2 linked regions of the Mytilus edulis genome follow. The protein of the gene in region 1 purifies or fractionates together with the protein of each later gene. This does not show direct contact. Links are inferred from orthologs where the notes say so. Each region holds a gene or a part of one and is shown on either strand. Other genes may lie near its edges.

What was found.
Region 2: the proteins of kinesin-like protein KIF14 (region 1) and KIF-binding protein-like purify together in Homo sapiens (affinity purification with mass spectrometry; 3 studies listed by BioGRID and IntAct, counting the BioPlex papers as one, with this or other methods). This does not show direct contact. The link is inferred for Mytilus edulis from reciprocal best matches to the Homo sapiens genes KIF14 and KIFBP.

What each region holds. Positions count from the first base shown.
Region 1 is NC_092345.1:3,947,088-3,960,123, forward strand, and holds the start of kinesin-like protein KIF14, read left to right. Parts: upstream 1-7,816; 5' UTR 7,817-8,109; coding exon 8,110-8,765; intron 8,766-9,344; coding exon 9,345-9,599; intron 9,600-11,233; coding exon 11,234-11,342; intron 11,343-13,036. UniProt on the Homo sapiens protein: Microtubule motor protein that binds to microtubules with high affinity through each tubulin heterodimer and has an ATPase activity. Plays a role in many processes like cell division, cytokinesis and also in cell proliferation and apoptosis.
Region 2 is NC_092346.1:36,837,533-36,851,450, forward strand, and holds the start of KIF-binding protein-like, read left to right. Parts: upstream 1-8,670; 5' UTR 8,671-8,793; coding exon 8,794-8,906; intron 8,907-13,918. Other genes in the region: cytoplasmic dynein 2 light intermediate chain 1-like, read right to left, coding at 1,052-1,238, 2,279-2,367, 2,804-2,873, 4,638-4,672, 5,163-5,218, 6,178-6,230, 8,338-8,348. UniProt on the Homo sapiens protein: Activator of KIF1B plus-end-directed microtubule motor activity. Required for organization of axonal microtubules, and axonal outgrowth and maintenance during peripheral and central nervous system development.

The sequences.
Region 1 (13,036 bases):
ATACATACAATAGTAATATTGTTGCTTATAACGTCTAATTTAAAAAAAAATCATATTAACATTAACAGGTTTTACGATAGTTGAATGCTTTTTGGTGATTCGCGCCCATTTGAATGGAACTATTTGCTTGATTTAGAAATGGTTGCATTTGAAGAATTAAACTCACAAATACAGGTTAATAGCAAACAACAGACTATTATGGCAAGCCTTTTGCTTCGCAGTTTGTGTATGTTTTTATTTTAAAGAAATCTACAGATTCCCAAAAGCATACACAAAAAGTTTAAGGACAGCTTTAACATAGGAAAATTAAAACCTTATGTCTTATATTTTTGTTGAAATAAATTGAATAAATCGGTGCTGTCTTGTCAAAGTGTATCCTGGTCATGCAGATGATACTGCAGATGATATATTATAAAAGTATTCCATATTTACTTACTTTTATGAATGACTTTAATTTACAAGTTTGAGTTGTTTACTCGATATTATAAACACATGATTTGATTTCTACCAATATAGTTCATTTTGAGTTGTTACAAATTATAGTATGTTGGATCTTCTTAAACTCGAAAAATGTGGTATGATTGCTACTGATCAACTTTTCAAAAGAGACCAAATAACGTTAAAGTAAGCGACTGTTGGTCACCGTAAGGCCTTCACCAATGAGCTTAACTCATAATGCATATTTCTATTTTTTGAATCAGAACCGAAAACAAAGTACCGGTTATAGAAAATTTAACAGACACATGTTTAATCCCGCCACATTATTTATGTATGTGCCTGTCCCAAGTCAGGAGCCTGTAATTCAGTGGTTGTCGTTTGTTTATGTGTTACATATTTGTTTTTCGTTCATTTTTTTTTTTTACATAAATAAGGCCGTTAGTTTTCTCGTTTGAATTGTCAGATAACTGCGAGTACTCTCAGATCTGTTCATTGTGTCTTTTTGTGTCGAGATGTATAAGTACCGGGCCACGTCCACTTGTATTTTTGTCCATCTGATGAGTTAAGCTTTTTTCAACTGATTTTTATAGTTCGTTCTTATGTTGTACTATTATACCACTGTCCCAGGTTAGGGGGAGGGTTGGGATCCCGCTAACATGTTTAACCCGGCCACATTATTTATGTATGTGCCTGTCCCAAGTCAGGAGCCTGTAATTTAGTGGTTGTCGTTTGTTTATGTGTTACATATTTGTTTTTCGTTCATATTTTTTACATAAATAAGGGCGTTAGTTTTCTCGTTTGAATTGTTTTACATTGTCTTATCGGGGCCTTTTATAGCTGACTATGCGGTGACCTATAGTTGTCAATGTATGTGTCATTTTGTCTTTTGTGGATAGTTGTCTCATTGGCAATCATACCACATCTTCTTTTTCACATGACTACGGACTAGAACTTTAAAGAATAACCATCATTGATTGATTGTTGTAAGTTAGTTTAACGTCAAGAGTCAAATATTTTATGCATATTCAAGACGAATGAGAACAAATTACAGAGAAATTGACTACTGCTGTAAAATGAGGAATTGTTAGAGTAGATACAGAAAAGTATTAGCAATAATATATTTATATATACCTTCTACAACGAAATTTGTTTTACATGCACACGTATAAAAGTTGCGGTTTTTATCCAACGCAATCATAGATTTGAACATAGTTTTAAATTTAGACTTGTTTATATTTTTTCGTTTGGGCTTGTATCATATTTTCCCTCCGGTTTATATGATCCGTGCATCCTATTTTGACTCTCTAAATTCAACAGTCTATCCTAAATTGAGGTAAATTATATGGCCTTCCAAATTACGTTTTCGATCCCTAACATCACTGAAGAGACATTTATTGTCGAAATCCGGATCTGGTGTATAAAAAAATGTTGACACCTCATGTTTGTGGCATAACATCTCTGCCGCAAGTTCATTGTTTTCTGTTTAGTATTACATTTATATTAAGATCCATTTTGCTACATCTTGTGATAAATTTATTTGGCAATCGCCAATGGCAGTCAGCAGGGTTTAAGAACATCAGTTGTTCGACCCGTTAGTCAAATGCGTTTTGTTTAAATATACTTTTTCACTTATTTGGTCTTTTGGAAAATGTTGTTTGTGTTGTATTTAGACCCTTCTACAACGAAATTTGTTTTACATGCACACGTATGAAAAATTGCGGTTTTTATCAAACGCAATCATAGGTTTGAACGTAGTTTTCAATTTAGACTTGTGTATATATATATATAAAAAAGTGAAACTCCATAAAATCTGACAAAATCAAACGTTATAATTGTAACCATCGGAACTGATGGAAAACAATTGTCATTTCTGTTATAATTCTAACCATCGGAACTGATGGAAAACAACTGTCATATCCATATTCCATAACCTTAACTGGCTATCTGAAAACTTTGTTTTAGATACAAAACTATTAATTTGCGGACACTTGGAACTTTCGAACGAACAAAATATTCAAAAGAGTAGGTTCAGTAGGACCCCTTTTTGGCCCCAAAATATAGCAGTTTTACAAAAGTATGAAAATTGTTATCTTTAAACCATTTACTGGAAAGTAGAATGCTTCTGCTACACAAATATGGGCTGTTTTTGACAATACAATGCACATATATCAGGTACTAGCATCATTAAAGGGAAAAAACGTCACGACCTACAGGAAGTAGTCAATATTTTTTCATTAATTATTGAATTTCTCCTTTATTACTGCACATATAGCGATAAAACTTTGTGAATATATATATTATGTCATAATGAACATATTTAAACCATAAGTAAAAAATCGCGAATTTTCCCTTTAAGTCATGCTAAATTACTGAAATCTTCACAATTTGAGCATTTTAGTTAAATTTTAGACGGTTTCCGTCTAAAATGCAAGTGGCCGCATTCGTGTTCATTCATAATATTAAAATGTAAGTTGTATTATAACATATATAAAGTTTGAGGATGAACACGGATGCGGCCACTTTCATTTTTGACAAAAACCATCTGAACAGTGACGTTGTTTGGCATATTTAATAGATTTTATATATTTAAGCTTGAATCGGAGCGTTTTAATGACTAAATCAGTTGAAATCTTTTACATTAACTAATCGAATCAATTTAAATAGACACTTAAGTGTTTAAAAAGTGTCTAAAATCTTTCGTTCGATGAACCTGAAATTTAAGGCCAAAATCGGCCCTTACCGGATCTACTCCTTTTCAAACATGTTCAAAATTTTATAAAAAGGTCAAACAGTTTTCTTATGCCTTGATAGAGCGTTATTATTACTGACACAGAACGTCATCGTTGTCATCAATTCACAAGTCATCGTCACAGAATTATGCGACTTTTCAAACTTTCTTTTTCTCTTTTACTTTCACTCCTCTTTGTTCACCTATGAAAGCTTGTATAATATTGTATAAACTGTTTGTTTTATATGCATGTCCATTATATTATACTATTATTGTAACTTTATACTGTATTATGGAGAAGACTTCATAAGTATGATTTACTTGTGTCTAATCCATTTTGCTTTAATTCAGCAAATAAAATATGTTTAAACTAAAACTAAAACTAAACCGAATAGTTAGCTATAAAATGCCCCGAAATGACAATGTAAAAAACGTTGCGCACGATGTTCCTACAACACCACGTTAAACCACCAGACGTCAAAGCGAGTTTTCTGAAACTTTTGACGTACATTTATTCAATTTGTAAGTTTCATTTGCTTTTTTTATGTAGTTGGTTGATTCTAAATATGTCTCTATTAATTTTGTGATGTCAAATTTCCATGAATTTATTTACCTCAAGTTGTGGAAATCGAATAAATAATGTTTACCCTTAAACCACCTTAAAATGTTGTATTGTCGTAAGTAATGAACTTGAAGGAAAGAAAATGGGACAGCAGTATACGGTTTTCAATAATTGAATTATAACAAAACTGCTAAAGTTTCATGGTACATATCATCTGTCATTGTAAATTTTTCATATCTTGATTCAACCCTATAATACAAATATATCCGACACTCTGCAAGTAAATAAAAACATATTTACCCTTGATTAATTTGAATGGAATTGTATTAAAAATTTGCCGTGACACATACCTTGTCGAAATACAACCAGTTAAATAAAATTACTAAAACCCGATCTTGAAAATTATTTTCCCAGTCATTTGAAGTAACTAGTTGCTTGTTTTTAAAATGTACTAATCATCTCCTGAATCGTCCGTATAATACGGGGTTGCATTAATTCAATAATACTGTTTTTGTCGCTGTTTCCGATAAGTCTTTCAGTTACCTCCGTTTCATGCACAACATGCACCGTGGTTTTTTTTCTACAACCAGCAATTTTTTTTTCAAATTTCACAACGCGATTCATTTTATGTATCAGGAATATACGATGGAACAAATTTTGCACATGTAACGTCGAAAAAAAAAGCGTTTGTTTGGATTTTTCGACGTTTGGACAAAATGGCTACCGTTTTGTAATGTTTCGTAGCATTTTATTCCTGTAAGACCCAAACATGCAGTTAATAAAAAAAGAATCTAGACTTTATGTAATTTTTGTTTATCTAACTTTTGTTTTGGTAAATTATAAATTACTTTAATATTGAAATATTGCTTGGACAAATGAAATATCAACTTGGACAAAATGGCTACCGCTTGAAAAACGACTGTGTAGAGATGGTTTTATAGAATCTACAATTTTTGAACTCACGAACAATGAGGCAAATGTTTGTTCTTTCGGTAGATGTTATAATTATCTCACATTTTTTAGACATCTTTAGCTATGTCTACTTATAAAACTACCTTTCAGTCGTTAAGTCAAAGAAAAACGTCATTATTCCAGCTTAATATGCAACAACCGAGTCAAACGAAATTCGACAAAAGAACGACTTTAATTTAACCGAGAACTGACACACTTCGTTGCTTCTGCCAAATTTCGGGAAGATCAGAGAATAAGAAATAGGATAACTATACATAAGAGATAAAACAGTTGTTTAAAATGTAACGTTCGACATCCGTTTTTTTCACATAGCTTTGTTGTTTTAATCCTCAAATATACTAGATATTACTAAGCATATGACCAAGAGCTATAAGAACATAAAGGAAAACATATATTGATTTAGTTTTTATAGTGGTTAGTGTTTGTTAACATTTTATTTTGTTTTGCGGAGGAAATTTCGAAGATCCTACGGGTTGTAGGAACAGCGTGCGTGACGTTAAAACAATTCAAACGAGAAAACTAACGGCCTTATTTATATATATAAAAAAAAGAAACGTTACTGTTTCTTACACATTACTGTGCATCAATACATCCCGCACAGTGCAACAGTCGATCCTTGCTTTGGATCGTAACCTCCAGACGGGAAAATTGGAGTATATTCAACTTCGTACTATATTTGGTCTTTTAAACTTTTTTGGATTCGAGCGTTACTGATGAGTCTTTTGTAGTCGAAACGCGCGTCTGGCGGATATACAAAATTTAGTCCTGGTATATATGATGAGTTTATTTACAACCATGCACTGGGTCGATGCCACTGCATGCTAATGGAGATTTATTTCCCCGAGGGTATCACCAGCCCAGTAGTCAGCACTTTTTGTGCGGACATGAATTATCATTTATATGATTATATTTATAAATTAACTGTTTACAAAATTTAGAATTTTTGAAATACTAAGGTTTTTCTACCTAAGGCATAGATTACCTTAGCTGGATTTGGCAAACCTTTTAGGAATTTTGGTCCTCAATGCTCTTCAACTTCATACTTTATTTGGCCTTTTTAACTTTTTTGGATTCGAGCGTCACTGGTGAGTCTTTTGTAGACGAAATGTGCGTCTGGCGTATATACAAAATTTAGTCCTGGTATCTATGATGAGTTTATTTTCTATACACCGGGACACTCTCAATACTATACTAACATTGTCAAAAATCTACAGGATGACATTTAACAGTTTTCAATAAAAAAAAGATATATAGTGAAATGTATTTTTTAATTGTTTTTACCATGAAAGAAGCACAACATCCCCAAGTTCCTTAGTACCTATGTACTTTATTTTATGCATTTAGGACTATTTTGTTCTATCTTAATAAAATTGAGAATGGACAACAGCAGAAAGTTTGACGTTTGGTCATTGGGCTTGTAGTTTGTAGTAGGTATTGTAGTTTGGTGTTTTCTATTGGTGTATTCATATTTTTTCATATTTTTGTATTAACGTCAGTCTCTTAACACATCGAAAGGTTAATTGTAAAAGTATTTTTTCTAGTCAAACACATCAGATGGAAAATTGTGAAAATTGTGAATTGAAGTAAATCTTCTTAATGATTAATATGCCTAAACTCTATAGTCTGATTCCCCTCTTTCTTTCTAAATTACTTAACATTTTGTATAAACGGTCTTATTTTTATGTTTAAAAAGTAAACTAGGAAACACCACTATTTGAAAAATAAAATAAAAAAAAAAACATATATAAAAAAAAAATTAGAACAAAATAAATATGCACTTACATAAAAAATGACAAAAAAAAAATGACAAACATCCATAATGATAAATATAAACAAAAACAAAGATGTATGTAGAAAAGATGAGAGAGTAAAGTCAGACGAAGTTGTTTTTACAATTTATATGTTTCAGTTCTAACCATCTGCTGATTGACATAAAAAAATAAACATTGCTTGATAACAGACACCTATAACAATTAAAGGATAATACTTAAAAGTTAATTTGATTGTCCTGTCGATTAGGATCATCAATGTTACGTCATTCGGGTGATAATCACAGGTAATTGTCACACGTGCCATAATGACAGTAAAATTGTAAAATTATTAGATAAACAGCACCCTTCCCGTGTCGCCTAAACCAATTAAATGGGAGGGACCTTATGACACCGGTGTTTGGACATAAGTGGCAAAGGGTCAATGTTTACTCCACTCTTAAATTTATATATAGATTTTATATTTCGCGGATAAATCAAATGAAAATATTTATTATGACTAGGAGACAGTAAATTTTGCTTGAAGGAGAATTTATTTATGATAAGAAAATGAGGAACAATAAAAGGAAAACTTTATGTGCATCGTCAGGTGGTACACCATTACAGTGGAGAAAGGGTAAGAAAACTTTTTAACGATAAAATTGTAAAAAAAAAGTTTTAATTAAAGTCATAATGGAGTGTAGCCGCTGGGTATTTTTCGTACTTATTCTTATTATAGAATCCGATCAGTATTTTCAAAGAAAATGACTTGTAAAAAATAACAATAATAATTCATAAATTTCTTTAAATATAACCATAGATGTAATACATAACATCTATGATATAACCAAAGACATAAAATGTATTATATGTCTTTGATATAACCATAGATGGGTATTACATCTAACAAAGTACATTGCAATGCAATATTTTGTTAGGGGAAAATTCAGTAGCTGCATGCTTAGATAATAAGACATCGTTTATAAACATTCTGGTGCAAATTACTGACTGTTTCAACTTTGGTCAATAAAGCATTGATATTCAAAATATATTATATTACAAATCTTATAGAAGTTTTTACACATTATTAAAATAAAGTTTGTTCCCCTTACACTGAAATGTATCTCATAATTGAAAATCGAAAACTACTGTATGCTAATTAAATTCGATATTCTATAAAGTTATTTAAGTTAGCTGTATTGATTTTTAAATTGCTGTCCTTAAATTATTTTCACATTTAATTATGGATTTTATTTTTTGTTAAATTTTGTTAGAGAAGTAACTTTTAAATTTCTCTGACGGATTTTCATCTGGTTTGCCTCCAGAAATCGATCTAGCTATTTTAATCGCCTTAACTTTTAACCAATCATTTCCTTCGTTACGAAGTCCCAAGGAACTTGTGGAGGCCATTTCAAATTTTGTAAACACTACGATTTGAATGAATGGAAGTAAATGAAGCGAAAACAACCTTTTAAATCTTAAAAGTCTTGGAATAAGTGACAGTTTTGATGTTTTTATTTCCACACTAAATTCTCTGCGATCGTGCAACTTTTATAGTGATATATTTTCGTCCCAAAAAAATTGTATGGTTTGTTCTGTTTATCAATCTCCTTTCCATGACAATCTAACATAGGGGATTTTGTTCGTAATTGCGTTTTTGTATGTCTATTGTGGTGAAAATGTCATCCTCTGCAACGAAAATACCGGGACTATCTTTGTCGGCGAGGAATAAACGAAAATTGCCTGAAGTTCCAAACGTGTGTATACAAAATGGGACAGAAAGTTTAAAAACCCATGCAAAGTTTAATCCAGAAACTGTTGAAATATCAATAGGTGGTACACACAGTAGAGGACGAATTAAACCAGGATCTGAATGTATAAAATTGTCGTTTGACAAAACAAATTCTTCCGATGATTCTCTCTCTGCATATGAAAGTAATACAAGTACTTTATCAGGTGACACAACATTCACAAATTCAAGTGTTTGTGACCAGTCAACTGATAATGCAGAACATGATTCTATTTCAAATTGGACTAATAACAAAGAATGTAATAAAGAAAACTTTCTTACTCCAGTTAAGGAACCAAGAGGACCCCCTGAAATGGACAGGTTTGATTTTATCTCGCCAAACACTTGCAAGACCCCTAAAAGGAGATACACAGAAGGTGACAAGCTGATTGCTACTCCAGAATGTTATAATGCAGTACAGCTTGAGGATTTATCACGATTTGAATTCCACAGCGATGATGATGATCAACCAAGGGAAGATAGTAGTAGTTTAACAGTAGCAGTACGAGTTCGACCTCTCAATGCAAGGTGCAGTAGTCTTGTCATTATTGTCAGTTTTGAGTTTTTTGTTTGGGGAATTTGATAAGAGATTAAGAACACATTTCCTTTTTTACTTAAAAAAATGTTTTATACATGTATCTAAGTATTGCTCTGAGTCTCTCAATAGGGTCATTGACCTATTTTAATAAATTTTTCATGTACAGTACACAATGTATTTTAACTTTAAAATACATTTACATAAAGTTCTGAAATGACAACTTTGCAAGTCTTGTAAACAGGTGCTACAAGCTAAAAAAAATTGGTGTATCTCTGGTTTTTTTTTATTGTACATCCATGAAAATCATGATAATGATTTCAATTGTACATGTAATGACATTCAGAAATTGTATTTTAAGTGACTTGTCACTTGTTTTCCAATTCTTGCATTGTGTTGCGGCACATGTTCATTTATTTGTTTCCAGAATAAACTTCAAAGTATAGTTTATCATGTTTATATTAAATTGTGTGAATTTATATTTTGTACAATAATATTTATGCATATTGAATTGTACAAATTTGTTTTACCATGTTTACATGTACATTATATCTGATAAAATATTTTTTCAGAGAAGAAAAGATAGGCAACATCCGCTGTGTGGTATCTATGTGTGATAAAGAAACAACAGTTACTAAGGATAACGGTTCTAAACAGACATTTACATATGATTTTTCATTCTGGTCATATGATAAACAAAATGGCAATTTTTCTGACCAAGAAAGAATATACAAGTTATTGGCCCAGCCTTTACTGGTCAAAGCTTTTGAAGGCTATAACACATGCTTATTTGCATATGGTCAAACTGGAAGTGGAAAAAGTTACAGGTACATATGATATGTAATAAAACAGTTGTTTTTTTTGCGTATTTTTACCATGTTTACACTAAGGATATACGTATGCACCATATTTTTAAAATATAGCCCACCCTAAAGTTTTTTTGGTCATTTTTGATTAAGCACTGTTAGAGTCAAAATGTTCCTCCCATAGACTCAACGGGAAAAAAAAGGAGGTAAAATAAAATAAAATCGCTATGTACAATATATGATGTACCTACCCTATTTTTTTGAAAGATGTACATTTGTAATAGAAAACACATTTTTTTGGCTGATTACATTTGTACAGGACTACATGTACATGTACTAAAATATCTATATTATAGATCTTTATTAAATGATATGAGCAAATAAGCCCTAATACAGATAAATCAGCATGTGCAATACTAAAAACGTTTCACTGTCGATATAAATCAAGATTTAATATTGCTCTTCGAACAGGGCCAATACGGAAAAAAACAGGGCCAATACAGAAAAAAGCGGGAAAAAAGCCGTATCAGCCCTAGGGCTAATACAGGACGTTCACTTCCGGTTTTCAATTTTATTACGCCATTACTTAACTCTGGAAGTATCGTTATGCATAAAAACATTTGTATAATATTTTTTAAATTAAAGTCATAAAATAAACAGGTTAAATGATGTGCAATGTTTTGTAATGTCTTAAACTTTTGAAACGGAAAAAACGAGGGCCAATACGGAAAAAAGCGGGAAAAAAGCTGTATTGGCCCATGGGCTAATACGGGACGTTCACTTCCGGTTTTTAATTCTCTTATAATCATTTAATAAAAGTGTTATGAACTGGCTGTTTCTGTATTGGCACTGGTATAGATTCTCGGTCAGCTGTATTGGCCCTCGACCCTACGGGTCTCGAGGCCAATACAGCAAACCTTGAATCTATACCAGTGCCAATACAGAAACAGCCAGTAAATAACACTATAATATTAATTATTGTCATTTGTACCAGTAAACAATATAAAGGTGAAATATAGGTAAACTCTCTTGGTGGCATAGATCTACAGTACATGTATACATGTTGTATATATGTCTCTTTTGCTGGTCATGCTACAGTCTTCACGCTGAATGGCAGCCCAGGCATCCCAGGCTTGTAAAATTTCTCTCGGGCCTGTTAAAATCATATCTACAGGCCAATAGAATCGTAACTAAAATTTTTCAAAAATTGAGCTCCGGGCCTCTAGATTTAACAGTTCATCGTGAAGACTGATGCTATAGCTACATGTACATTGTAGTGTTGAATTCAAAACAAGCAGACAGGATATTTTTGTGACCTGTCCATTTAAAACCTAATGAACAGAGATTTCAGAATGATAAACACAATATCATTACTACAGTCATTGTACTAGCATTAATTGTGAAACCAAGAGTTAAAGTAATTTTCAAATGATGCAACATGTTTGCACTGTCATGACTGTATAAAAAAAGCTAAAAAATCTCTAAGTGAGGATATAAACCTTGAAAAATGCTGAATATAAAGCCAAATAGACATGTATGTAATTATCAAACTACATTTATATTCAGAGTTTCATATTAAACAATTTAAACTCATACCTGCTTTCATTATATATATGTCTTAAATGTCTTTTTACATGTTCTTGTTTTAATTACAGTATCATGGGACAAGTAAACGAAGATAGAAATGAAATAGGAATCATTCCCAGGTTTTGTGAAGAATTATTTTCACGAGTAGACCATGAAGTGACCAGAGATTCAGAGATGGTATGTTTATATCTGTACTAGTACTGTTATACTCTTAGTCATCATGGTAATTAATGTACAACAATGTATGTTGGTGTTTTGCACATGGTTAACTGTAATATGAAATCTTTTTCACTGGGTTAATTTTGCTTATTCTTGATCATGTTATCTCCACAAAAAAATAAAAAGAAACAATATTGATGTGAAATGTGAACTCACCATTGATTGGAGAATGTTACCCCTACAAAATAGTTCTATTGTTCGAAATCATGTACATGTAATATTATAACAACCAAGAAAATATCGGAATTACAGAATTTGATAGTTTTTTTAGCATTGGTCATTTAAGATTGACTGTACTTGTACTTTTCTTACACATCTTAACAATGTGTTTCAAATAAATATGCCATATTTATTATGTTTATACATTGTACATGTGTTATAAGGGTTTCAAGTACAGGTACTTGTAAAAAAATATCTTGAAGCACTGTACATGTACAAAGTGCTTATCTTCTAGAACTTTCAAATATTTTGTATATATATATAATGTGGTTTGATTGACAATGAGACAACTTTCCACCAGAAACTAAATGATCTTTAGGTCACTGTACAGCCTAAAAAAGAGAGAGATGTTTATATTATTAAACAGACTGTTAACCGTTCAACAACCTAGAAAATAGCTCTGTAAAACATGTCATGTAGAATGAAAACGTAATTTAAAGTATATGATTGAGAGTTTCTTGTCCTTTTCAATAAACAACTCCTCAAATACTAAAACTTAATAATTAGTTCTTTTGTAAGTGACACAGTAATTTTCAGTACATTATCTTTGTGATAATATTTGAGAGAATTCCATTACCATTGCCGCCCTAAAATTATAATCTGTTGTCCTCAACAAAGTAAAATCTATCAATTTGAATCTACTTCATTTGAAGTTTAAATGAAAATTCCATTCTAGTGTTGACTAGGTCTTTACTTGAGTTGTGTATTGTAAAATCTATTGTTTGATTTTTAAATGAACAGTACTCAGCTGTTATTGTTTTCCCTTTCGTAATAATAATATAGGACTTTAAAGTTTGAAGTGATTTTAGTTAAGCATGTTAAATCTACACAGACATTTAAGTATTATGGTCTTTACTGATTTACTTTGATAGTTTTGTCAATAAAGTATGAAGTGTATTGTTGTAGGATCCATTATCAATTTGTAAACAAAGTGAAAGAATTTTTATTAAAATTTTAGTCAAGTCATAAATTTCTTCAGTTAGAAGTTGATTATTCTTCTTGAAGATGTAAACCCAGCACGTACAGTTATACATACTTTGATCAATGAATAAAACTGTAGTAAAATTTAACAGACAAAATATTTGCACCAACATAAAAGACTGTACCTTTACTTCATAATGAGTAACTTTTCAATTTATAAAATAAAATTAAAAGAAGATAACATAGATAATTGGTTTATTGATGTAAATATTTAAACAGTAGGTACAAAATTTCATTAGACCTGGGAATCACCTAGATTTTTAAATAGATAGTCATCAATCATATTGATAAACAAATGTTATTGGTCCCATGTGTAGCTAAAATTTATTTGAAGTAAAGAATGTGAAATGCACAATATTACATAATGCAGTTACAGAAAATAAGCTTGGACAGATTTAGCTCCTAGTTCAGATCGGTGCTTACGTTTGTGCGCATTACCATTACAATTGCGC
Region 2 (13,918 bases), on another chromosome or scaffold:
CCTAAAGGGGTCAACTGATCATTTCGGTCATGTCGACTTATTTGTAAATCTTACTTTGCTGAACATTATTGTTGTTTACACTTTATCTCTATCTATAATAATATTCAAGATAATAACCAAAAACAGTAAAATTTCCTTAAAATTACCAATTTAGGGGCAGCAACCCAACAACGGCTTGTCCGATTCATCTGAAACTTTCAGGGCAGATAGATCTTGACTTGATAAACAATTTTATCCCTGTCAGATTTGCTCTAAATGCTTTGGTTTTTGAGTTATAAGCCAAAAACTGCATTTTACCCCTATGTTCTATTTTAAGCCATGGCGGCCATCTTGGTTGGTTGGCCAGGTCACAGGACACATTTTTTAAACTAGATACCCCAATGATGATTGTGGTCAAGTTTGGTTTAATTTGGCCCAGTAGTTTTAGAGGAGAAGATTTTCGTAAAAGTTTATAACGACGATGGATGCCGGACGCCGGAAGCAAAGTGATGGGAAAAGCTCAATTGGCCCTTTGGGCCAGGTGAGCTAAAAAACTGAAGTAGTTATGACAGTAGTAATTCATTTATTCTTTAATTACACTTGATATTGTTTTCAGGGAATTAAAGATTCTACTTCAGAAAAGTCTAATGAGGTGTTAATCAATTAAAAAATAATGGACAATGTGTCAACAGGACACAGAGGATGCCCCCACTTGCATCATACGTTATAAAGTGACATAACTCTAGAACGGTAAGTAACGCCACCCGAATTTGAACTTGATTTGTATTTTGAGGTAATAAGCATTGTGTATAATTTCATAAAATTTGGTTGAGGCAAATTAAATTAGAAAACAGAAACTAATTTTGGGACGTACATCGATATATTTGAGACGGCGGGGACATTAAAATGTTCCAGAAGGTTCAAAATTAAACTATTTGGTATCTAAATGGTTTGCTCAAACTCTTGCTCAGACTTATTAATTTACTCTCTGTACCAACTCTTTCCGAAAACTTAGTTTATACCTTGTAGTCTTTTGATTGCATGACCACCTTTTCAAAGTGTGTATACTTACTGGGTGGTCTGCCCCTACTCTTTCCCACGCTTGTTTTGTCAATCTATCTTTGATACTGGGATCCTCAGATTTCATTTCCTCTATAACTGTATTTAGTCTAGACTTTGCAGAGTTCAGGAGTGTTTCTAGGTTGTACCATATCTCTTTAGGTTTGGACAGATCAATTACAATAGCTACTGCTGTGTGACTGTAAAGAAAAGTAAAGAGCTTTTTATAATTCAAAATACATGCAGTTTGTTATTTAACAATTTCTCAACAAAATCAATATGTTTTCGTCTATTTTCTATTGATTTATACTCTTGCTGAGTATTTTTTTATGTATGAATAATTGGTTTAATGTTTATATCTCTGGATTTGTTAAATTATGTAATATATAAATTTTCTTTAAAATAAGCGTTGTAGCTGTTTTTATGCCCCATTTATGGGCATTATGTTTTCTGGTCTGTGGGTCTGTTCGTCCGTTCGTCCCAATTCAGGTTAAAGTTTTTGGTCAAGTAGTTTTTGATGGAGTTGAAGTCCAATCAACTTGAAACTTAGTACACATGTTCCTTTTGATATGATCTTTCTAATTTTAATGCCAAATCAGAGATTTCCTCCATATTCACGATCCATTGAACACAGAAAATGATAGTGCGGATGGGGCATCCGTGTACTATGAACACATTCTTGTTAATGCATATTATGGAAAATATAAAAATGTCTGTTTTCATGTAAATGAATAAGTTTTATTAACATGACTAATAATCAGGAGCATGGTGTAATGGTTAGTGCATCGAACTACTAACACAAAGGTTCCTGGTTTGATTCCTGTTCCAGGATGAAAATTTCAGGGACTGAATTTTCGTCTCTCCCTTGACACCATTTGCGAGTATGGTCTTGAGGAAACAATAATAGTCTGTCAGAAGGGGACGATAAATGGCTGACCCGTGTTAAGAGACAGTCAAATCTCTTTCACATTAAAGACACCCTTGTAGATTTCGAAAAAAGAGCAGGCTAATGCTGCTACAAGGCAGCACTTCCACCCGAACCTTTATCATAAATTGTGATGTCCAGTAATGGCTGACAAATAGTAATAAGGTGTATTGGGGTTCTAAATGCATATAAAGGTATCACTTCAATGGATCTAAAAGAGGTTTTTTCTTGATAGAAGTGAATTTTATTGCAGGTTTGCATATAATTAATTCTTATTTAAATTCAGCTACAAAGTTATAATAAACCTATATATACCTTAGTGATGATGGATTAAGTGGAACATCCATTAGTTTAGACAACCATGTTCCTCCTCCAAGCTCCCATATATGTCCAACATCTTTTGCCTTAAAAAAATAATTGAAAAAAGTATATAAAAAAATTATGCAATGTCCTATGTAATGTTAATTTTCCTGTGAATAATATAGGAATTGTGAGTGGTTAAAATTGACATTTCAATGTTTGGAAACACTTGTAACTTTAAAAATCAGATCATTTTATATCTGATTTAAATATACAATGAAAATGTAAGAAGTAAAAGGATATAAAGTCAAACTTGCATTGGAATAGAATAACATTTACTGCCTTTACTTTGATTGGGATAAACAATGGACCTTTTACCACAGATTTGTTGCTTGTATTGTTCTTAATCTTAGTTTATAGCTCAACTTCATACAGACTAACGAAAAAAGACTTCATAGATATTTTTAACACTAGCAGAAAATATAAGAGAAGTCATTCTATTTAAAAGAAGAAATATGGAAGAGACATTGTCACACTTACAATATTATGCCCCTTTGCTCTGCGTCCAAATGTGTATTCTAGAGCTACAGTTGGTTTTGGTGCCTCATCTCTGTAACATAAAAAAATAAGCATTTAAATACATTCAGGAAAACTGGTATTCAAGGACCACTCAACAAAGTAGACAAAATTGGTGTCTTAACAGAATATTCAACAATTTGTATAATGAAAAACATTTTATAATGGTAACAGAAACATTTTGATCAGTTTTGATCATGATAAAAAAATATTGAAATTATTTGGTAACATAAATGTTTGATACTAAATTTTATCATCGATATAAGACCATCATTCGTAAATATAGCTCAACATGCAGACTTCTTATACGTTCAGGTATTTCACATCCAATTTTTTATGGAAATATTCTTTATAAAGCACAAAAATGTCAGTATTCACCTCAGAAGCTAACAAAACCTTTAAATAGACTTATTAAGAAGGGATATAGTTACGATACTGTTGTCAGGTCATTAAAGATTGCATATTTTGGCGTTAATATTGATTCACTTATAGGGTCTTTGTATCGGAACTAAACACATTCATTTAAAAACCAGTTGTTGGCATGACACGGGTTATGTTCTTCTCATATATGTTATGATGGTTTGATACTAAACCCCTAACGGGAAGGATTGTACCTGATATTCATATGATGAAGACATAATCTTTCAATCAGTTTAATTGAAGTCTGGAGCTGGCATGTCAGTTAATTGCTAGTTGTCTGTTGTAATTTATGTATTATTGTCATTTTGTTTATTTTCTTTGGTTACACCGTCTGACATCAGACTTGGACTTCTCTTGAACTGAATTTTAATGTGCGTATTGTTATGCGTTTACTTTTCTACATTGGCTAGAGGTATAGGGGGAGGGTTGAGATCTCATAAACATGTTTAACCCCTCCGCATTTTTGTGCCTGTCCCAAGTGAGGAGCCTCGGGCCTTTGTTAGTCTTGTATTTTTTTTAAATTTTAGTTTCTTGTGTACAATTTGGAGTTTAGTATGGCGTTCATTATCACTGAACTAGTGTTATACCACTGTTCCACATGATCCAGGTTAGGGGAGGGTTGGGATCCCGCTAACATGTTTAACCCTGCCACATAATTTATGTATGTGCCTGTCCCATTAGTCAGGAGCCTGTAATTCAGTGGTTGTTGTTTGTTTATGTGTTACATATTTGTTTTTCGTTCATTTTTTTACATAAATAAGGCCGTTAGTTTTCTCGTTTGAATTGTTTTACATTGTCTTATCGGGGCCTATTATAGCTTACTATGCGGTATGGGCTTTGCTCATTGCTGAAGGCCGTACGGTGACCTATAGTTGTTAATGTCTGTGTCATTTTGGTCTTTTGTGGATAGTTGTCTCATTGGCAATCATACCACATCTTCTTTTTTATATGTAGTATATATATTGTTTAGGGGCCAGTTGAAGGACGCCTTCGGGTGCGGGAATTTTTTCGCTGCATTGAAGACCTGTTGATGACCTTCTGCTGTTGTCTGTTCTTCTATGGTCGGGTTGTTTTCTCTTTGACACATTCCCCATTTCCATTCTCAATTTTATGTGATTTGAAAATTAAAATTATCTTGGCTAAAACCTTTTGATGTGGAATGATTGCTTAGTTAGGATATTTTGTGTGGTAGCATATTTTATCTTTTCACTTAAACAGTTATATCTTTTTTCATAAAATGTGAAAAGTGCACAAAGGGCAACAAAATAGATACTGATAATTTTACTTAGTATAGGGTGTATTATCTAGCTACCTAAATAACTTAAAGGAAATGATCAATAATGTGATTTAGAAAAATACATGATTAAAACATATTTACCTGTCTAAGAAACGAAGAACTATGGAAGTCTTTCCCTGTATAAAGAACAAATCAAATTCAGAACATACAAATTTTGAACTTGAAACAAAAACAAAAGTTACTTTTGAACCATATCTCCAAACAAACATAAACTAAAAAGTGACAAACATTAACCATATGATTCACTCTCAAATATATATCTCTCTGTATATCAGATCATTCAAAGTCACTTGTGTTTCACTGTGATTCAGTCAACACTCAACACTAATGTATACTGTACTAGTGATGTCACAGGTGGAAAATTTCAAATGTATGATAGTTCTTCTCTATCAAAACATTTACTGGTACATCATAAAATTGAGAATGGAAATGGAGAATGAGTCAAAGATACAACAACCCAACCAAAGAGCGGAAAACAGCCAAAGGCCAACAATGGGTCTTCAATACAGCAAGAACATTTCACACCCGGAGGTGAAAAACATTACAAACCTTCCATTCAATATTTCTCAAAAAGACTCAAAAGAATATCAACAGAAAAATACTCACTGAATTTTTTGCTCCTACAATAAACACTGATGATTCTTCTCCAGTAGCACCTTCAGCTAAAATGACAACATATAATTTTCCAGAGGTTTCAAAATTCATTGCTATTTTATTTACTTTTTAAATTGAGATGAAGATTTATTTTTATTTTGAGGTCATCAACTCTCCATAGAATAACTTTATTAAACCACGTGGCAATGACCTTCTAGTCAGAATTTTGAGAATGGGGTATGTCCTCGCAAAATTTTAATGAATTTTATTAAAATCATTTAGGTGTAAATATTCTTCATTGTATGTGCTAAGGGTTGTCTAATACTTGCAGTGATGCAGTGAATTTTTTTTTGCTCCATGCTGAAGGTCTCAATGTGACTATCAGATGAAGAACAACAATAAAAGCGCTGTTCCTTTGCTATGTGTTTTTTTCATTGATTTAAATTTTGTGTCATAGATGGATACCAGTTCACATATCTTTTCTTTTCTGTATTGTATCCATAATCTCAACATTACATTATAGAGAATAAATTGCTTCGCTGAGCGCAGCTGAATACAACCGCAGAGGTACAGCCCTGAACAGTTGGGGCAAAAATGGAGACAATACTCACGCTTGATACAGGTCTGAATTTGGATTGTAATTAAATATTTGACACACAATAGGTTTCTGACACAGAATAACTGTAGTCAATGAGCTTAGAATTGGTTATATGGTTTGAATTATTTATATATTTTTTTACATGTCCAAAACCTGACATTTCTTTTTACATATTTTACAAGTAGTGTAAGGGAGGTTAATCAAAACATAGACAACATTGTATTTTAAATGTAATTGGATTACCTCCCTTACACTGGTTTTAAATTGTCTTAATTGTCCATTAACCAGAAAAACTAGTTTTCCCTCTTTTTTTGCCCCTAATTTCTAATTTGTTTGAGCCATAACCTCCCAAAGTCAATCCTAACATGATATAGTATTATACGACGCAAAAATTGTTTTGCGGTCGTATAATAAATACTGATATCATACCTTTACTTTCATTTGATTCCTGTATTGCAACATCCCATAAAGATTTTTCTAGTCTGAAAGCAAAGATTTTTTTTTCCATTAAAATATCTGTAACTATAGATCATATATATGCATTTTTAGCACTACAAATTTTGTATTGGTTTTCTGTATTTCTTGTCCTCTGTTTAATGTATTCACCACTTGTCTATCATGCTTTGACAATTTAGAGTTTATAATAGTATGTAGGAACTTTGATTAAAAATAGTCTAGATAAGTTTATATAATATCTATTTTTAAGTTATCCTTTGTTTTTTATACATCTTTCTTGGCAAACAGTTACTGTATTATACCATGTATACCAAGACAGGAGGCTTTGTAACTCCAAAGCCTGCATTTCTCACCTGGCTATCATTATTTTAGTGTTACCTTATCAGAAAATACAACTAATCTAGGGACCTTATTGTTATTTGGGATTCTGCAACACTTAAAATTTTGACATTGTGCAACAATCTCTTTTCCTAATACACCTTATCGCTAATCCTGGCTGACCCGGCTGCTTGAACTTTTGACGCATACAACAATCACTTTTCCATTGTGGCGTCAGATATTTTGTTTTATGACGTCAACTTTTTACAGGAACCCGTGTGATATCCAGTAATGGCGGACAAAAAAGCGATAAGGTGTATTGTGAAACAGTATATCGAATATCAATATATATATGTTCCTAGTGGCATCAGACAATTTCTATTGTGACATCAAAATTTTAAGGTGACCAAGTTGTGATGTCCAGTAATATGATTAATATGGGACAATGTCCCCAATTACGGTAGAAAAATCAATTAAAAAAAAAAAAAAATCGGGAAAATTTCCTGAATTTTTCATTCTACTAATGAACTCAAAATCGTTAACTTTTTTTTTCAGATCTACTTCCGTTTCCAGTTTCTTCCGTTTCCGATCTTGTTTGCATGAGACTTTGAATAAAATATATATTTATCAACATATCAACAAAAATATAGGAAGGAATTCAACACCTAATCATTTTTAATAATTGTTTGATATGAAAAAACATTACCTGGATAACAGCGTTTCTTTGTTTACATTGAATATGACGTCATAACTTAAATAACGTCACAACTAAATCCCTAACAACAGAACCAATATTGGAAACATTATGGTATTTCCGTTTCTTTTATCAACATGTTTGAATTCAAAAAAAAAAATACAGACTTCGTCCCCATTCACAGGTTATATGCCTGCCTTATATTAATGGCAGACAAATAGCGATAAGTAGAATGAAGTACCGGTACATGTACGGTGTAGTCTGGTGTATCAGTGCACCTAAGACTTATAACTTCACTTTATCATGTTTATCAAAATGATAAAACCTTGCATTGGATAATATTGTGTGAAACAATTCATTACATACTTTAATTTCATAAAATCTTCTGTATGTATGGTTTCACCTTTTTAACATTTTGAGTAAAGTGTGTCCAAAATTTGGGAAACCCCTGTTTTGAGAGTTCTTCAAATAAATAAATTTGGTGTATATACTGTCTTCTGATTGGTTAAAATTTTTAGTTTTATTATTAATGTTGTCAATTTTGAAGACGACACGCCCACTCTGACGTTGTTAATATATATAATATAAAAAGTTCTTTGAGCCTTATTTTTGATAGAAATTTATTTATAATGAATGGCAATAATCTATTGCGGATTATTCAATGTGAAGAGTCAAAAATTAGTTTTATGGTTCAATAAATTCAAAGTAAATAATAGCCATTCATTAAATGTTTATTCTAATGCAACATCGTTTGTAACGTTCATTTTGATTGGATAACGTCACTTATTTACATGGCATCAATTGTCAATTGATGCTATGGGACGTACGCGCAAGGGCAGACGGCATATGACAGATTTTAAATACATGTTTTAACGTTGTTTTCTGTTTTCAGCTAACGCGTCGCCAGTAAACTTGATTTGCGACCATCAAATCCCAAATTGATGCCGCCGGAGCTTAATATACAATACAGTTATCTCCTAAGTGATCAATTTCTTACTGTTACTCAGTGTTAGAGATATGAAGGTTGATTTTTTGTGGTTTTCAAAAGGCTGAACTCTGTAACAGAATCTTTCATGAAATTGACAGAAATTAAAAGGTGTCATGGAAGAAGAAATTCTAACCCTTTTGACATTTCTGATAGTAGATGTAAATATTCAGTGGAATGTTACTGGTTCTGTTTAGGATTTTAAACCAGTGTATTGTTTATGGTAAATGTGATAACCTAAAATTAAAAAATAAATAATGAACACAACGTACCATTTAAAAGTTTTTATTGCACAATGAAATAAGTCATTAAGTAAATAAAAGAACAAAATACCACAGAGATAATTCTGAACCTTTTTTTCTTCTTCAAAAAATATATTTTCTTGTCGGTAAAACTATTTATTTCCTTGCGGATAATCTATTCGGAAAATATTCTCACTTTAACCGGTACCGGTCTGTTACTATGACTGCTGGTTCCAGATTTATTTTCGCTCAGTGCGTTGGCTCAACCAACAATAAATAAGATCCAAACCAGTAACTGAAAAATTTAGCATATTTTATTCTGGAACAATCACTTTCGCTACACTTTCACCATGTCTAAAGCCTGGCAAGATTTCTTGAGTAGTGAAGGATTTGAACGTATCGACAGTGCAACGAAGCTGTCAGATGAGGACTTAAACGACGATCCAGAAGATGATCCATACAGGTAAATAGCCTAGCTTCATGCATCCATCTCAACCGACACTGTCAGTGAGTGTCACTGGAAGACTCTGCCAGTGACAGTGTCGGTTGAGATGGATGCATGTGCCAGACATAAATGTATGCCTCGATTTATGCACATGCACTTGTTTCATTTGATGGTAGAGGTCTTCCTTTTCCGTTTCACATAAAACAAGTGCCAGTGCATTTTTTGAATTTTTTTTAGAAGACCTACAATGACCTACAATTACATGTATTTATAATTTAAAGTCAGTTGTAAGTGTATATAGGAGAGTGTTAATGCCCTTTACCGTCAGGCGTCAAACGGTCATTACTGGCTACGGTTAATGTCAAATTGTTTAACTTTTTACCGTGATTCGTCAAATGTCTCAAAAATAATTACGTTACCATTATTTTGGGGGGAAAAATAGCGTGATTTGTCAAATTCCGCTGATTGTTATATCGTCTAAAAGAAAGTGTACATTTTATTGTCATGCACTAAAAATTATCGTTAACATCATTTGGCAAGAATTTTTACCGTTATACGTCATGAAGGTATCCCCATTACTATCCTCATATAGGGTATAGTAGACTTCCACAAAAGAATTTGGTCAGTTCGCCTACATTCGTGCCCTTTCATGTTCACCCCCTTTCACTTTCGCACCCTAGACATTTGCAACCAAAGTCTGTTCGCTCCCTAAATGTTTGCACTTTTTTTTATATAATTTTGTAATCAAGTTTTTGTGCCTTTGGCGCAAGTCATGTTTCCATGGTTAGTGTATTGCTATAGACATTTTTTTTTTCATTGTTTCAAAATAAAGTCATGTAAGTGAAAATCTGACAATGTTTTGGTTTTTTTTTGTGTTGAATAAATAACTATGTTTTGGTTTAAATAGTGCATTGCTATACACAAAAAAAATCATTGTTTCTAATATAAATAAAGTGGGAACAAACATGACAAAGGGATCAAGCTGTTCAAAAATATGTTTTATTCATACTACATTTTACTTACACAATGTAACTAAATACATGCAGTATTTACTTCAAAGCAGGCTAAAACAACAACCAGATTTTCAAACACACAATAATAATACCTTTGGCTGTGTATGAATAGCAATTATCAGCAATCATACATAATTAACCTTGAATAATTAATCATCAAATCAATAATAAAAAAAAGAAAAAAAACACATATTTCACATAATAATTCCTAAATTTTAATTTTGGTAGAATAAATTTGTACATGTATAAAAAAAAATCTAATAATGCAACTGGAATTTGAATAAGAATTGGGTCGAAAGTTTATGGGGCGAACATGTGGGATGTGAAAGTGTATTGGGCGCAAATGGACCTGATACAGCTACACCATGTACACAGTGACTATACTATTCAGTTAATACTATACATTACATTGTTACGTGTATATTCAAATCAACCCTCGTTCTTGGTGCCACGAGAAACACTTGTGACTATACAAGGACCTATTCATAACATTAACTGTATTGTTTTCAAATTAAACATTCACAAAATGTAAAAGATTATATACTTTAATAATACTAATATTGCTCTTCAGTAATGAACAGGTGCTTGCATGAATTAAAGGCAGAGGCTATTTTGTAGGCACTGATTAAAATATCTAAATTCAAGCTGCAGAAATGGCTATTTTACTGGCACCAGCAATAAAATAATAACTGTGTTATTTGCCTGTACTTTGTAAAGAGGAAATTTGATTTTGCTTTTGAAAAGTTCTATGAAAATGTGCACTGTCAACTTAAAAGAATTAAATAATTACTGATACACCAGTATTTCAATAAGAAAACAGCCAGGAACATATAAACAGATATACTGACATATACTGTTCCCAGAAACAGCTAATAATATTTGAGATACAAAAATGTACATATAATTGTTTAAAAACATTTATCAGTCAAAGTTAAAAGAAAAAAAATCATAAAGAGCATCCCATTTGTTGCAATGAAATTGTATCAAACCATGTACATGCAGCTGAAATAATTTCGAAAATCAGTCACACACTCTATATAATGCTACATGTATGCATAAGAATTAAAAAAAGGTTTTTTTCTTTATTTTATAAAAAAAAATATACATGTTAAAAATTTCAGTGCATCAACAATTTAATAAAAAATATAAAAAAGTCAACCACAGACATGTACAAAAATGTTTGAATTCAACTAACTTGCTTTTGAAATAATAGTCAGTTCTTTGAAATGTATATATGTCATGTATGTGTAAACAAAATTATAAACCATTTCTATAGAAAAAAGCTATTTTAATTTGACTTCTTGAATTTAGATATTTAATCAGAGCCAGCAAAATTTGAAATTGTTATTTTATTTTGCTGATGCGGGCAAAATAGCCACAGCCTAAATTAAAAGTTAACACCAAAAGTTATTTAAATAAAGAACTAATATCCATTGTAAAAATCAATTCACAACCAAAGTATTGCCATGTGGTATAAATTCATAACCCCATATTACTCTATAGTATATAAGTTCAAGGTCATCTAATTAGCAAACCTGACATTTATATGTATGAAGTACACAATCAAAAAGCTGTAACAGAAACTACATACATTTTTGTCGAGCCTTCGACTTTATTCGAAAAAGCGAGACTAAGCGATCCTACATTCCCTCGGCGTCGTCGGCGGCGGCGTCCACAAATATTCACTCTGTGGTTAAAGTTTTTGAAATTTTAATAACTTTCTTAAACTATACTGAATTTCTACCAAACTTGGACAGAAGCTTGTTTATGATCATAAGAAAGTATCCAGAAGTAAATTTTGTGAAAATAAAATTCCATTTTTCCGTATTTTACTTATAAATGGACTTAGTTTTTCTGCGAGGAAACATTACATTCACTCTGTGGTTAAAGTTTTAAAAATTTTAATAACTTTCATAAACTATCCTTGATTTGTACCAAACTTGGACAGAAGCTTGTTTATGATCATAAGATAGTACCGTTATCAAGAAGAAAATTTTGTAAAAATAAATTTCCACTTTTCCGTATTTTACTTATAAATGGACTTAGTTTTTCTGCGAGGAAACATTACATTCACTCTGTGGTTAAAGTTTTTAAAATTTTAATTACTTTGAGTCTTTCATAAACTATCCTTGATTTGCACTTAACTTGGACAGAAGCTTCTTTATGATCATAAGATAGTATCAAGAAGAAAATTTTGTAAAAATAAATTTCCACTTTTCCGTATTTTACTTATAAATGGACTTAGTTTTCTGCCAGAAACAAAACATTCACTCTGTGGTTTAAGTTTTTAAAATTTTTATAATGTTCTAAAACTATCTTGGATTTCTACCAAACTTAGACAAAAGCTTGTTTCTAATCATAAGATGTTATTCAGAAGTAACAAAAAAAAAATCACTTTTTCCGTATTTTACTTATAAATGGACTTAGTTTTTCTTCCAGTTAACATTACATACAGTCTGCAGTTAAAGTTTATAAAACATTTATTAGATTCATAAACTATCCTGGTTTTTTTTACCAAACTTGGAAGCTTCTTTCAATCAAAAGACAATATCGAGAGGGAAATTTTTATTGATGTTTTTCATCATTTTTGTTGAGTCTGCAAATAACAGCATAAGTAGGCGAGACACTGGGTTCCGTGGAACCCTTACAAATTTTTTTTGTATTCAACTGTTATTCAACTTAATTAAAAGTGCAAAAATTTAACATTTTGTTTGAGGGACTTCACTGCTTGAATATCTCTACTTCAGATGGTTTCTGACAGACCAACTAGATTGTGGTAGATTACCTTAGCTTTAAAACCTTGTGTAGTCATTGTTCTTCAACATTGTACTTTATTTGGCCTTTTCATATTTTTTATATGACCGCAAAAATTCAAATTGTTTTTGTCGTATATTGGTATCACAATGTTGTCATAATCATCGTCAGCGTCGTCCGAAGACACTTCGTTTCCGGACAATAACTTTAGTTTAAGTGAATAGATCTCTATGAAATTTAAACACAAGGTTTGAAACCACAAAAGGAAGGTTGGGACTGATTTTGGGGGTTATGGTCCCAACAGTTTAGGAACAAGGGCCCAGAAGGGGTCAAAATAAGTATTTTTCTAATTTCCAGACCTGTTGGTTACCTTCTGCTGTTGTCTGTTCTATGGTCGGGTTGTTGTTTCTTTGACACATTCCCCATTTCCATTCTCAATTTTAATAACTTGTGTGTAAGTGTATGAATCTTTCTGAAATTGTACCACAAGGTTCCACTCCAAAAAAGGAAGGTTGGGATTGATTTTTGGGGGTTATGGCCCAAACTGTTTTGGAATTAAGGGCCAAAAAGGAGCCAAAAACAATCCTTTTCTAATACTTTGTATAAATTGCTTATTTCTTGACCAATTTCAATGGGGTTTTATTCCTGAATTTGGGGCTTTCTTAAATATGCTGAATCTGACCCTGTATTGAGTTTTTGGAATTTGGTCCCCGTTTTTAAATTGGTCCACATGAGGTCCATAGGGTCCAAAATTAAACTTTGATTGATTTCATAAAAAAATGAATTGTTGAGGTTCTTTGATATGCCGAATCTAACCATGTATTTAGATTTTTAATTTTGGGTCCCATTTTCAAATTGGTCTACATTAAGGTCCAAAGGGTCCAAAATAAAATTTGTTTGATTTTAACAAAAATTGAATATTTGGGATTCTTTGATATGCTGAATCAATCCTGATGGCCATGTATTTAAATTTTGGATATAAGACCACATTCATTCTGTGTCAGAAACCTATGCTGTGTCAACTATTTAATCACAATCCAAATTCAGAGCTGTATTAAGCTTGAATGTTGTGTCCATACTAGCACCAACTGCATTTGTATAAAGCTGTGCCCTGCGGAGCGTCTGGTTTTATTTGAGCATCATTGATTACCGGTAGTCTTTTGTAGGTGAAATGCAAAAAAAATTTGAATCCTGATATCTTTTATTAGTTTATGGTAAAATTGAGAAAGGAAATGGGGAATGTGTCAAAGCAACAATAACCCG